3 linked regions of the Caenorhabditis elegans genome follow. The protein of the gene in region 3 interacts with the protein of the main gene of each other region in a pairwise test. Each region holds a gene or a part of one and is shown on either strand. Other genes may lie near its edges.

Region 1 (3,365 bases), on a different chromosome or scaffold from region 3:
ACGTCCTGGTTGTCCATCTGGTCCCTGTGGTCCTTGTGGTCCTTGCTCTCCATCAACTCCAGAATCTCCGTTCTTTCCTGGTTCTCCTTGAGATCCTGGCCATCCTGGAGTTCCTGGTTGTCCTGGAAGTCCTGGTCCTCCAATAGTTCCATCTTGTCCAGTTGGTCCTTCAGATCCTTCAGTTCCTGGCTCTCCTTGTGGTCCTTGTTCTCCAGTGATTCCGGCCTCTCCTGGAGCTCCATCTTCTCCACATTGTCCTGCAGATCCAGATGCTCCTGGGAATCCTGGCTCTCCAATATCTCCGTCTGGTCCAGTTTCTCCTGGTGGTCCTTGTGGGCATTGAATGCATCCTCCTGGAAGATGATGGGTAACAGCCAGAGATACTCCAGAAGCTCCATCACGTCCCTTATCTCCAGATGGTCCTTGATCTCCACGTCCTCCTGGAAGTCCTGGTGGTCCTGGTGGTCCTGGTGGGCATCCTTGAGAGTTGGCATCACAATTACATTGAGATGGATAAGCAGAACGCTTGTTACGGAAAACGCTGGCGAAAGCGGCACTGCGGGATTCAGAATCAAGAGATGGCTTGGTGAATCCAATCATACGATTCCATGCATCATCAGACATCACCTGAAAACAGTTTTTTATAGGCATATCCAGTTGAATCCTTTCGGAGTCCAAGTTGACTATAACTCATAGATTTATAAAAAACTAATACTTTAAATATAAATACTAACAGGTTTATCATAATTACCAACCTTCATGTCATGGACTCCAGTTACAATTTCTTCTCTCATCGTGTCAATATCGACAACAATGGAATGCATGGCGACAAGGGCGCCAAAAACGGCAACCAGCGAAATAGAAGCACAAACGGGAACCAAATATTTTGACATTTTTAGACGATGTCTGAGTGTTCCATCAGGAAACGATTCATTTTAATAGTGAAGACGTTCGTGGTGAGATATAATGTGAACTTGAGAGAGATGCGTGACGGTACTGGAAGCGAATCCACTTTTTTCGACAGCGCGAAGAATCGAATAAAAAGTTAGGACCGTATGGGAAATTGTTTCTAAGTTTTTGGTGCAAAAAACCATTAGTGATAAGGAAAACCTGCTTTTCCGTCCATTTTTCATTGCCGGATAATCTTCTTGAGTGTTTTTTTTTCTGATTTGCATTAAAATTGGTTTTTTAATATCTCAATTCATATACGATTTGTTTTCTGTCTGTTTCCCTACTAAAAACTTATATTTTGAAGTTAATTCACAACGTTTTCTCGTTTGGAAGCGATGCCTACCGTACCCTTGCTGTTTGAATTCCCGCGCCTGCGCATCAAACTTTATGTGTGCAGTGGCGGTGTACGCACACCATCAACTCGCGTCTGATTGCGGACTTGAAGCAAATTTGTGTTGTCCTAAAAATTTTCTATTCTTTTTTTGATTTTTCAGTGCTTTTCACGATTTTTTTAAAATAAAATTAAACAAAAAATAAGATTACACTGATTTATCGATTTTTAAAGTCACTGTCTACACTTTTTCGATTTTTTCGAATATTTATCGTTTTCTTTGCTTGAAATTCCGCCATCTTTGAGAGTTTCATTGTTCACTCGTAATATTATTTTTGTTAGTCATTTTTTGCTAATGGCGAACGCTAGAACTTCCCGTTTCCTTCGAAAATAAGCTTGGTTTCTTCCCGATAATCGTTTCGTTTCTCTCTTTCTATACAGGATAGTTTTAAAAATATAATATTGCAGAAGAACATGGGTCTCGTCAAGGTCATTAAAAACAAGGCCTACTTCAAGCGCTACCAGGTCAAGCTGAGACGTAGACGTGAGGGAAAGACTGACTACTATGCCAGAAAGCGTCTTACCGTCCAGGACAAGAACAAGTACAACACCCCAAAGTACCGTTTGATCGTCCGCATCACAAACAAGGATGTTGTCGCTCAGGTAAGGTTTTCATTAATTTCAAATGTAGAATATATTAATTTAAGTGTTTCAGCTCGCTTACTCCAAGATCGAAGGAGACGTCGTTGTCGCTTCGGCTTACTCCCACGAACTTCCACGTTACGGACTCAAGGTCGGACTTACCAACTACGCCGCTGCTTACGCCACCGGACTTCTTCTTGCCCGTCGTCACTTGAAGACCATCGGACTTGACTCCACCTACAAGGGCCACGAAGAGGTATTTTGTATTTCTATTTGATCTTACTTTAAATTCATACTTTAGCTTACTGGAGAAGACTACAATGTAGAAGAGGAGGGAGACCGCGCTCCATTCAAGGCTGTCCTCGACATCGGACTTGCTCGCACCACCACCGGATCCAAGATCTTCGCTGTGATGAAGGGAGTTGCTGATGGAGGCATCAACGTTCCCCACAGTGAGAGCAGATTCTTCGGATTCGATCAAGAGTCGAAGGAGTACAATGCTGAGGCCCACCGCGACCGCATTCTCGGAAAGCATGTTGCTGACTACATGACCTACTTGAAGGAAGAGGATGAGGATCGTTACAAGCGCCAATTCTCCAAGTTCCTTGCCGCTGGATTGAACGCCGATAACCTTGTTGCCGTAAGTTGAATTATTCCTATTTTTGTAACCAATGTTTAAAATATTCAGACTTATCAAAAGGTCCACTCCGCCATCCGTGCTGATGCCTCTCCAGCCGCAAAGAAGGCTGCCAAGCCATCCAAGAGACACACCGCCAAGAGGCTCACATATGACGAGAGAAAGCAACGTGTTGCCGACAAGAAGGCCCTTCTTCTCCAACTCAAGGAGCAACAGGAGTAACTCTCTTTTTGTTATTTCGTTTTCAAATGAATGTATTTGTTGACAGTCTCGAGTTTTGTTACAATTTGTTCGAGTACGATAAAATTATACATTGGATTTCTTGATTTTTGAAGTCTAAATTTCAGTTAAAGTTAAGATGTCGGAAAATCCTGTCGTTTCCGATAAAAAACCAGGCCCATCAAAAGACTCTTCCTTTTTCTCCGATTTGTATGACAATTTGAATCAAAACCCGTATTTTAATGCGGGAGCTGGTCTAGCGGGAATAGGAATAGCAATGAGCTTTCTGCGGAGGACAGCTCAAATCAGCAACACGTATTTTCGTAGGCGTTTTATGATCAATCTTCAAATTAATAACGAAGACGCGTAAGTTATTTACAGAAATCCATCAGAAAATATAATGATTTTAGAGCGTATCCATGGCTTCTCGATTTCATTAATAATCGAAGTGCTACCCAAACACGGAATTTATCAGCGAATACAGTTGTTCATCAAGCTGAAAGTGGCAAAACTGAATTATCAATATCATTCCTACCTGGCCATGGAACTCATTTTTTCGTCCATGATTATCGATGGATCAAAGTC
Region 2 (3,949 bases), on a different chromosome or scaffold from region 3:
CTAAATAGATTTTACTTACAACAACTTGATCTTCAAATCCATTGTCGTCTTCTTCTTCATTATCATCATCATCATCGTCCGATTTGTCGCCGGATGCATCAGCTCCAAGCCAAGCTCCGCGTTGTCTGTAACAGAAATACTTGCATTGAATTATGATAAATTGTTTATTTACCTTTTTGGAACACTAGATGTGGCTGATTCGGTTTCTTGTCTTTCCAGTGCCTCTTCGAGAAGCTGCTTACGAGCTTCATTCAAGATTTTTGATGAGAGCGAATCAGGAACGAACTGAAACTAATTTTATGAACTCTCTGGTCAATGAAAATAATATTTAATTTTCCCTGAATATTTACTGACCTCGTCTGTCTGCGAGTCTTCCCTTTTTCTCTTCTGCTTTTCGCGAAGCTCATCTCGTTGCTTTGCAACTTTACCAGCTTCCAACTGGTTATCCAGTGGAGCATTGGCTGATAATTTGTCACCCCTTCCTTTCAAATTCCTTTTCACCATGTTACTGGAAATTCATAATTAAAAATTAGCAGAATTACGGTGTTCAATATATTCTGAAAGGATCAGAAGCCTGTTCATAAGATTTAAAATGAATGTAACATACGCAATTTCATTATTTTCCAGAAAAAGAGAACGCCAGACAAAAACATTTTGTCAAACAAAACCAAGGTGGCTCTATAACTTTTAGGGGGCAATACTAAACTCTAAATTGAAAGAGAATTAGAATGTTTGAACCAAGTTGGATGGGATAGGGCCAGTACTAAAAAGGGGTGATTAAAAAGATGAAATCACGCATAAAATAAAAATGTGGGACGGTGGGGGTGGAGGAGAAAACAGATAACATGGATAAATATGAGGAAACAAGAGGAAGGGAAAAGCGTGTGGAACAATCGTGGAGGGGATCGGAATTGGATTAAAATTTAGATGAGGTCAGCGATTGATTCTGGCATCTCTTCGATTTGAGTGGTGTAGTAGCTTTCAATTTCCTTGAGCTGACGAGCATCGTTCTCGGTGACGAAGTTGATGGCAACTCCCTTACGACCGAAACGTCCAGAACGTCCGATACGATGGATGTAGTTCTCACGATTGGATGGGAGATCATAGTTGATAACAAGTGAGACCTAAAATATATACATTCCATAGTATTGAATTATAAACACAAATATTTATACTTACCTGTTGTACGTCAATACCACGAGCCAAGATGTCTGTGGTGATGAGAACACGGGAAGATCCTGAACGGAACTCTCGCATAATTGTATCACGCTCAGCTTGATCCATGTCTCCGTGGAGGCAAGAGACTGTGAACTGATTTTCAGTCATTTTCTCGGTGAGTGTGTCGACCTTCCTGCGAGTGTTACAGAAGATGACGGCTTGAGTAACATTGACAACGTTGTAGAGATCACAGAGGCAGTCAAACTTCCACTCCTGAAAAAATGGTTCATGAAAACAATTTCTTAGACTGGGCGAGTAAACTTACATCCTTTTGAACGTTGATGTAGAACTGTCTGATACCTTCAAGGGTGAGCTCGTCCTTCTTGACAAGAATGCGGATTGGATTGCGCATGAAACGATTAGTGACATCAAGAACTTCAGATGGCATAGTAGCCGAAAGAAGGACTACTTGAACGTCTTGTGGCATGGAACGGAAAACCTCGTAGATCTGATCCTTGAAACCTCTAGAAAGCATTTCGTCGGCCTCGTCGAGAACGAACATCTTAATTCTGGATGTGTCAAGAGCATTTCTATTGATCATGTCTCCAACACGTCCTGGAGTTCCGACAACGACGTGAATTCCGGCTTCGAGTTTTCGTTGATCGTCGCGAACACTGGTTCCACCGATACATGGAAGAATGTTAACGTTGAGGTACTCTCCGAGGGCGCTCATGACCTTTTGGATCTACAAAGAAAGATTTTGAAAAGTTTTCTTTAAAAGTATCTGCTAATAATCTATAACTAAAATACACTGAGTGAGAAAGTTTACCTGTTGAGCCAATTCTCTGGTTGGGGCCATAACGAGAGCTTGCACGTGTGGATCCTCGTGGTCGATTCTCTGAAGAATAGAGACCGAGAAAGTTGCAGTCTTTCCAGTTCCAGATTGGGCTTGAGCGATGACGTCCTTTCCAGTGGTGCATGGAACAATTGCGCGCTTTTGAATAGCAGATGGCTTTTCGAAACCGAATCCGTAGATTCCGCGAAGAAGCTCCTCCTTGAGCTCCATGTCGTCGAAAGATTCGACGACTTGATCATAGTTTCCCTAAAATTGAATGTATTCAAATTATAATAAATTATGTACATTAACTAACCTCGATCAAGCCGTCGGCATCGACCACCGAAGATACGTTCACATCATTTTTAACATCGGTCATGACAGGTGGGTTGAAAAGTTAAAAATTAACTTTTGGAAGTGCGATTGAGTTTCTGAAATTGAAGTAAAATGAAATTTCGAAAGTATTTCAGCATTAAATACAAAGATAAGGGTGTTGAAATAGTTCTTCAATAATAATAATTGCGAAATACAGTATCTCAATCCTAAAATTTTCGAATAAACCCATCCAAAAGAAATGAAAGAAAAGTTTCGACCTAAAAACCTTTGTTTTTTTGAGAAAAAGCATTTGAAATAAATATATTCTTAACACGAAAAGCATAAAAAACGTTTAAAAAAGCTTTAAAATCTAAAAAGAGGCTAAGAAACCGCCCCAAAACCGGGCCAAATCATTCGAACAAGAGTGACGGGTCTCGAAGCGAAGAGAGTGTTCATTAGAGCGCACATTCATACCATCAATTTTTTTTGAAGAAAAATGGCTCTTTTTTATTTGACCAATTCAATTCTTTATAATTTTTATGTACATTTGGTTATACACATTTTTGAATTCATTTTTAAAATAATTTTAATGATATAGATTCAAAATCTATACTTTTTCCGTTTTTTGAATGCAACCTGCGTAAAAAAAAGACGAGTAATCACTAACACTGACGACAGTGACATGCACTTAAAAGTGGTTCGAAATTTAAAAAATTAATTTGGATTTTTGAAGCCAAAGTAAATAATAAGGAAAGTTAGAAGGCTGAGTGTGTATGAGGTCCTCATAAAGAAAGTGAGAAATGTTGGTTGAACGATGAGAGAGCACAGCGAGCAGACTGGTCAATTTAGGCAAATGAGCGCGACGAATGAGAGTAAGAGCCGTAGAGAGCACAGCGTGCGGTGTTCCAGACGCGATGAATAAGAGAGAAACGAGAAGAACACCATCTGCTCTTCAAAAACACCTGTTGACACCGAATTAGGGGCTTGGTTAAATGCCAAAAACTGCATTGTTCGTGGATTAGGAAGAAATTGACCTATGTAGACTGTTTTGTATTGTGAACAAGAATAAATATTAAATACAGAGAAGAAAAGGTATCTGAAATCAAATAAAAAAAAGAGATCAAATTCATTGTCATGTTCACAGGCCATAAAAATCCTGAATTTTGCGGAAGGCTGTTCTCCCTCATTTCCCTCCTCCTCACTCAACCCTCACACATATTGACATAAATCTCGAAAGACGGAATCCGCGCGGACACAACGCGCGTTGGAAACATTACACTCATTTTCACTGCTGCTTCCTCTCTGTTCGTTATTGATTTTTCGCCATTTAAAATATTCAAATTCTCCTTTCTTGTGCACACACCATAAACACATACAATTTTCAGAAATCATGAGCTCATACCCATCCAGTGGTCGCCGGCGACCTATCACCCGATCAGAAGCCGAAGAAAGAGCATTAGACAAAATTTCCAGAGAGGTATCTTAACAATTTGAAAAATTCGAATTAAAAACTAAAAGTTTTAGGCGGAAGCTCGAATGAAATTGAAACGAGAAACACGAGAACAAGCCCGACAAGGAAGATATCAGTTGTTAGAAAAAAAAGTTGAAGAAGATGCGGAAGCTTATCGTCATGATACTGCT
Region 3 (6,776 bases):
ACTGATACGCAAAAATTGTCCGAATTGTACTCATATTTTGCCAATTTTGACTTGTTATACCAAGTCTGTAAGAGTTTTCCTAATTTTTAGAACGATTTTATAATGCAAATTTTAAATTCCTAAAAATAGGGAACAAATGGAGGGGTGCAAAACTATTAGAGGTGCAAAACTAATAGAGCGTGCAAAACTAATTTTCGATTAGTGATTTTAGATGCAAAACTAATGGAGGTGCAAAACTAATAGAGGTGCCTAACTATTTAATAGAGGAAATACGGTAAATTTCAGTTTTAGCCAGTTGAGAGAGGTTGAGCCGCAGGCTCGATCGACACCGTCCGGTTAAAAAGTTAATAGAATCTTTTTCCATTGAATCAAAGTTATTGTTAATTTGTTTAGTTTTCAACAAACTCATTGAGTTTCCTGTCTTCTTGGAGGTTTTGGTACGCGCGCACGTGCGCTCTACTGACCAATGGCCGTGGCCTAGCTTTCTTGGTGGCTGTATATTTCAGCGCGAAATTCGTCAGTGCGACGCGAGCTACATTTATTGATTTTTCAACATTTTATTCGATAAATGTTTTCTGAGATTTGTTTTTCATTTATATTTAAATACACACTGAAAAAATAAAACCACGTGGCGTGGATGCGCGAATTTCATGAAATTAAACTTCATTTTCGAAATCTATTAAAATACGCCACGAAGTTTTATTATTTTCAATGTAAGTCTCGTTTTATCTTTTCCTTTTATCAATCGATTTCAACGCTTTCAACTTATTTTTTTGGAATTGTGGTTTTTAGTTCAAATCTTCTTAACTGTATTTCGAATTTTTAATCTCTACCTGTTCGAAATAGATTCCTCAAGATTAAGATACCTAGTTGTTTTTCATTGATTTCAGAAAATGGCACCCGGGACCAAAAAAAAGTCGGATATGGCAAAATTCACATTCTACAAAGATCGCTTGATGACATTCAAAAATTTCGAATATGATAGAGACCCGGATGCAAAATGCACGTCTCAAGCGGTTTGTCCATTTTCGTGTTTTAAATAAAATTATTCTTGTTTTAGGTTGCTCAAGCCGGATTTTACTGCACCGGTCCTCAGTCTGGCAAATGTGCATTTTGCAACAAGGAACTTGATTTTGACCCAGAAGACGATCCGTGGTACGAGCACACGAAACGTGATGAACCGTGCGAGTTTGTACGGATTGGAAAGCTCGATGACTCGGAATTAACTATTAACGATACCGTTCGTCTCTCACAAACCGCCATGATTATGACTAAACTCTTTGAGCATGAGATGATGATAAATAATTTGTCTAATCATTCTTCTTCTGATGCTCTCTTCGATCAGCTGAAAAAAGTACCGAACACAGCATCGACAACAAAATCTAACAGCCGCCGCGGCAAATAATTTTTCTACATCACTTACTGCAACTTATCCAATTATTGATTTGATCTCATATACTCGATTTAATCACTGTTCAATAAACACTTAATTCATTATTTTATTATTCATTCAATGTTTTTGTTTTGAAATTATAACTTGTGTTTCATCGGCACTACAATATCTTCCAGTTTTGTATTTGATTCTTTTTTTGTCTAAAAAAACAATTTCAGGACAGTATTTCATCAGGATGTCGATGAAACTACGAGAGTGAGTGTATTTCACTGATTATCATGTAAAACCAATGTTTTTTAGTATCCTTCCTGCTCCTGTGGCGGCAGACGAAGCAGCTTCACAGATTCGACGAGATCCTTGGTTTGGTGGGCGCGATAACGAACCATCCGCCGCACTCGTATCGAAGGAACCACCGCCGTACGGAAAACGGACCAGTTTTCGACCAAGAGGGCCTGAAGTGAGATTGAAAATATTAATATTCTTCTTAATTTTTCTTTTCCAGGATTTTGGCGATGGCGGAGCGTTCCCTGAAATTCACGTTGCTCAGTTTCCTCTCGGATTAGGTCTTGGAGATATGAGAGGAAAGCCAGAAAATACGCTCGCCTTGCAATATGGAACTGATGGAAAGTTACAACACGATGCTATTGCTCGTATCGGACATGTTAAGGATAAAGTTGTCTACTCCAAGCTTAATGATATGAAAGCCAAGACGTGGAACGAGGATGATGATGATATTCAGAAACCAGACGATGACGCTGTTATCGATGCTACGGAGAAGACAAGAATGGCTTTGGAAAAAATCGTAAATTCAAAAGTAGCCTCAGCACTTCCTGTTCGTCATGCCGACAAGTTAGCACCTGCTCAATATATCAGATACACTCCAAGTCAGCAGAATGGAGCTGCTGGATCACAACAGCGCATCATCAGAATGGTTGAAGAACAAAAAGATCCGATGGAACCACCAAAGTTCAAAATCAATCAGAAGATTCCTAGAGCACCACCATCTCCACCGGCACCAGTCATGCATTCTCCTCCAAGAAAAATGACAGCTAAAGATCAAAACGATTGGAAGATTCCACCATGTATTTCAAATTGGAAAAATCCAAAAGGATTCACAGTTGGGTTGGACAAACGATTGGCTGCTGATGGACGTGGTCTCCAACAGACTCATATTAATGAAAACTTTGCGAAGCTTGCTGATGCTTTGTACATTGCTGATAGAAAAGCTCGTGAAGAGGTTGAGACACGTGCTCAGCTTGAAAGACGCGTTGCTCAAAATAAGAAGTCTGAGCAAGAGGCTAAAATGGCAGAAGCCGCAGCAAAAGCCCGCCAGGAAAGATCAGCGATGCGGAGAAAGGACGATGAAGATGATGAACAAGTCAAAGTTCGCGAAGAAATTCGACGTGATCGTCTCGACGATATCAGGAAAGAAAGAAATATTGCTCGTTCACGACCAGATAAAGCTGACAAGCTTCGCAAAGAGCGTGAAAGAGATATTTCGGAGAAAATTGTGCTTGGTTTGCCGGACACGAATCAGAAACGAACTGGCGAACCACAGTTCGATCAAAGATTGTTTGATAAAACCCAGGTTTCAGTTCCTTCTTCGATAAAATTTAACTAATATATTTATTTTTCAGGGACTCGACAGTGGAGCAATGGACGATGATACTTACAATCCTTATGATGCTGCGTGGCGTGGCGGTGACAGTGTTCAACAGCACGTTTATCGACCGAGTTAGTTTTTCTTGCTTATTTTCAAATATAAATTAAAATTAGTAACGGGTCTAGGTATTTTGAATGTATATATATATATATACCCACAATGCTCTAAAATGAACGAATTTCATAATGAAACGTTCCAGAAGTTTTTCAAAAAAAAAGTTTTATGGCGTTTTAAAATTTCAAAAAAAAACATTATTTTAGCTGAAATCTTATTTTGGCAGTTTATCTTATGCTATTCTAAGGTACATTTAAAATCGAAAGGTTACCGAAATTGATTACCTATGTTTGCTTAAAAAGTACCTCAATTGACGATATTACGTGATATTAAAATTTAAAAAAAGATTATAATTCAAAAAAAATCATTTTTGAACCTCTGCGACACGAAAAATTCGCCAAAATTGATTCATTTTTTCTAAATTTCGAACCGCCATAAAAATCTAAACGTTCAAAAATAACTAGAACCGTTAGTTCTTTAATATTTCAAAATTGAAATGATTTCCTAATGTATGTCTGAACTGAGGAATTTGTGACATTCTAAAATTTATTGTTTTTCTAATTCATTGGTGTTGGAATTCACAAAACTCTTTGATGATACTGATGTATTTGACTTTCATGTCCGTTCTGGTTCATTTGTCGTTAAAAATAGAATCACAACTTAGGTGCCTAGTATTTGATAAGACGTTTGTAGTACTGCAGTCATTACGATTAAAATGACGTTATGCAAATACGAATTTCGAAAATAATTGTATTTTTGTCAAAACAGGAAGAAATGACGATTTATAAAACTTTTGCAGGCAAAAATCTCGACAACGATGTTTATGGTGGCGATTTGGACAAGATCATCGAACAGAAGAATCGGTTTGTAGCTGATAAAGGATTTTCAGGAGCAGAGGGCTCGAGTCGTGGATCTGGACCTGTTCAGGTTAGTCAGTTGATCTGTTGTCAGAAATTTTAACTACGTTACTAAAATAGCTGGGAATTTTGAGAATTTGGGCGCTGGCTCGTTGTTGATGAGCGTCAAAAATTGACTGATAAGTAACGACGAATTGAACCAATTCGTTGATTTGTGCGGTCATTATCATAAATGGATCATTAATTTACGTCATTCCGAAAAGACACGCACAGCAGTGTGTTTTGGAAGTAGAAAAGATTCTTTACATTCTTGGTTTATGAGCTTCAATTGTCGTGCGTAATATGTTTGACATTATTGATAAAATAAGATTAAAATAATTAAAATATGTCAAAGTTCAGTTTTCATCCATTCTCTTTATGGTCGAAATGAACTATTGATGTATTTTAACTCACGATTAATTTGATTGTAAAAGTTAACCAATTTTAGATATTCTAATTAGAGTTATAATAAATAATTATGGATTCATCAATATTGTAGTTTTATACAATGCTCAGAGCTTATTGAACAAAAACTAATTATATCTTTTCTATCATAGCCGATTAGCTTTTCTTTTTACTTAAGTTCGGGATGCAGATTCTCTTCAGTTTAACACATAAAATGTATTAAATTACTTTACTGTTTCTAGTCACATTTCGAGCTGAACGATCAGCATTTTATCGAGTTGTGTCTACGGAGGCTGGTGTTTGCGAGCATCTTTCATAACCCAATCACTATCAGTACTTACGAAATATCACGTCTTATCACCAACAAGCCAGAAGCATTAGAACCAACATGTGATTTACTCTAAAAGTTGAAATGACTGAAATACTAGACAGAACTAGAGCGGTGTTGACTATATTTCGGTCTATTTTTAGGAAATGATAACTTTTTGCTCCGAATATACGTGTAAATGAAACAGCTCAAATCAAAATTTCACTCTCAAAGTGGCATTGTAGTTAAAAATACGTATTGCATTTTTTAACAAAAAAATCTTAGTTTTAGTTTTCGCTTATTATGAAAGTGGACGAAATAAACAGTTGTCCTCCCAGTTTTTATAGTATTTATTCGTATTTGGAAATTCTAGGGATCGAACCTGTAGAAATAATCGAAATTTATCAAAAAATTGAAATTTTTGAAAAATTTGGCATTTACTATATTGAAAACACCAATTTTTCAAATGTTTAAACCATGTTCATAGTTTAGATTTGAACAGGAAACGTATTTTTTTTCCGGAATTGTTTGCAGCGAACTCGGGGAGCTGGGTAAACTTTTTCGGCGAAATGGTGTTAATTGTAGACTAACATCTAAACTGAGTGATAAGCAGTAAGCGGATAAGCCAACGATCATCCGTGTCGATTTATAAATTGGTTCAAGCAGCGTTCAAAGGGCAAAACATTAGATGATGATGATGACAGAAAATACGATTTTCATGCCATTTTAAGAATGACAATGATAATTCTAGTATATTTCATGACAATATTTCCGAATCGTGATTGTGCATGGCATAGTTTCGAAATTTCTTACAAAGTTTATTATAAACTTATCAAGAAAATGATGACGATGCGGAATCGTCTAGAATTACAGGACAGACACGATGGCGGCCGATTTGGCATGTTTGCGTGTGACGATCGAATTGTTGCAGAACGCGTAGAAAATGCTATAATCTGGTCAAAGTGCATTTGATTCCAACGAAATAGTTTATACGCATTGAGTTTAACTGTGAATCGAACGTTATTGAAATTTAGAAAATTCCATCTGCGAAATTGAGTGTGTGGACCCGTAGTATTCAGAAATATATGTATTTACTGAATTATTTTTTTGAAACCTAATTTCTAAAGATTTCATAAGGAAATTGCATAAAAGATGCTCTTAAAATGACTGTGACTACTTCTAAAATTTACTTATCAATGAGTCATAAAACATTAAATGTCACTGTGCATTTATGAATCACTACAAAATGTTAACCTTTTTATTTCAGTTCGAGAAGGATCAAGATGTTTTCGGATTGTCATCACTTTTCGAGCACACCAAAGAAAAGAAACGAGGTGGGGATGGTGGAGACTCCCGTGGAGAATCAAAGAGGTCTCGACGCGACTAATTTTAATATATTTTTTATTTGTTTTCTGTTATTTTTTCTCAACTTCTTTTTTGGAAAGAATCTCTGTAACTCTTCTGTAGTTGGATGTTTGCACAAAGATGAATCAAAACCGTGTCAATTTTTATTAATAACATTTCGAAAGAAGACCAAATTATGTCAGCAAAGAATGAGCGAATTTGAAAAATTATGGCAAAGAGGATTCGGGAGAGGGGAATATTGAAGATGTTCTTAGGAATGGTTGATTTGATTATTGAGTTGCAAAATACTGATCAAGAAATCTTTTTGAGCATTTTCTTGTTGAAGACCACTAACTGCTTGCCGGAGAGCTTTTACTTCCAACTCGAGTTGCTCCTTCTCATCATGAAGACTTTTCACATTCTCCACCTTTTGGCGCATTTGAGCACGGTACTGGCGAGCATAAAGACGGCGATGACGCTTCTTTTGACTGTGAGCATCTTGTCCATCTGCAATTTCTTGTTGTGGTCGACCACGACGGATTTTACCAGGAGCAGCAGAACTTTCAGTTGAAGAGCATCTCTGAAAATACAAATAATATTACAAGATTTTGAGAAAATATGATATGCTTACCGAGCTGGATGTGGTAGATGTTCCCAAAGAAGCAGAACTTTCAAATGGCAAAACAGGCAGATTGATGCTGAATTGAGCAAGCA

The links. Proteins that work in one complex are often made in the same cells at the same time.
Region 1: the proteins of skp-1 (region 3) and rpl-5 interact in a two-hybrid assay, tested with the Caenorhabditis elegans proteins (one study listed by BioGRID).
Region 2: the proteins of skp-1 (region 3) and inf-1 interact in a two-hybrid assay, tested with the Caenorhabditis elegans proteins (one study listed by BioGRID).

The regions. Positions count from the first base shown.
Region 1 is NC_003280.10:8,568,177-8,571,541, forward strand, and holds rpl-5 (Large ribosomal subunit protein uL18), read left to right. Parts: upstream 1-1,750; 5' UTR 1,751-1,756; coding exon 1,757-1,945; intron 1,946-1,997; coding exon 1,998-2,180; intron 2,181-2,225; coding exon 2,226-2,564; intron 2,565-2,612; coding exon 2,613-2,783; 3' UTR 2,784-2,810; downstream 2,811-3,365. Other genes in the region: col-38 (Cuticle collagen 38), read right to left, coding at 1-627, 756-893; bcs-1 (Mitochondrial chaperone BCS1), read left to right, coding at 2,920-3,146, 3,191-3,365. UniProt on the Caenorhabditis elegans protein: Component of the ribosome, a large ribonucleoprotein complex responsible for the synthesis of proteins in the cell.
Region 2 is NC_003281.10:6,928,560-6,932,508, reverse strand, and holds inf-1 (Eukaryotic initiation factor 4A), read right to left. Parts: upstream 2,376-3,949; 5' UTR 2,373-2,375; coding exon 2,310-2,372; intron 2,261-2,309; coding exon 1,988-2,260; intron 1,904-1,987; coding exon 1,484-1,903; intron 1,432-1,483; coding exon 1,180-1,431; intron 1,125-1,179; coding exon 924-1,124; 3' UTR 556-923; downstream 1-555. Other genes in the region: Cell adhesion protein byn-1, read right to left, coding at 20-125, 173-285, 355-504; flap-1 (Leucine-rich repeat flightless-interacting protein 2), read left to right, coding at 3,699-3,785, 3,833-3,949. UniProt on the Caenorhabditis elegans protein: ATP-dependent RNA helicase which is a subunit of the eIF4F complex involved in cap recognition and is required for mRNA binding to ribosome.
Region 3 is NC_003283.11:11,643,870-11,650,645, forward strand, and holds skp-1 (mammalian SKIP (Ski interacting protein) homolog), read left to right. Parts: upstream 1-1,611; 5' UTR 1,612-1,628; coding exon 1,629-1,648; intron 1,649-1,693; coding exon 1,694-1,850; intron 1,851-1,895; coding exon 1,896-2,981; intron 2,982-3,030; coding exon 3,031-3,127; intron 3,128-3,909; coding exon 3,910-4,037; intron 4,038-5,985; coding exon 5,986-6,105; 3' UTR 6,106-6,221; downstream 6,222-6,776. Other genes in the region: Chromosomal passenger complex protein bir-1, read left to right, coding at 894-1,016, 1,061-1,405; Transcription factor zip-10, read right to left, coding at 6,334-6,642, 6,694-6,776.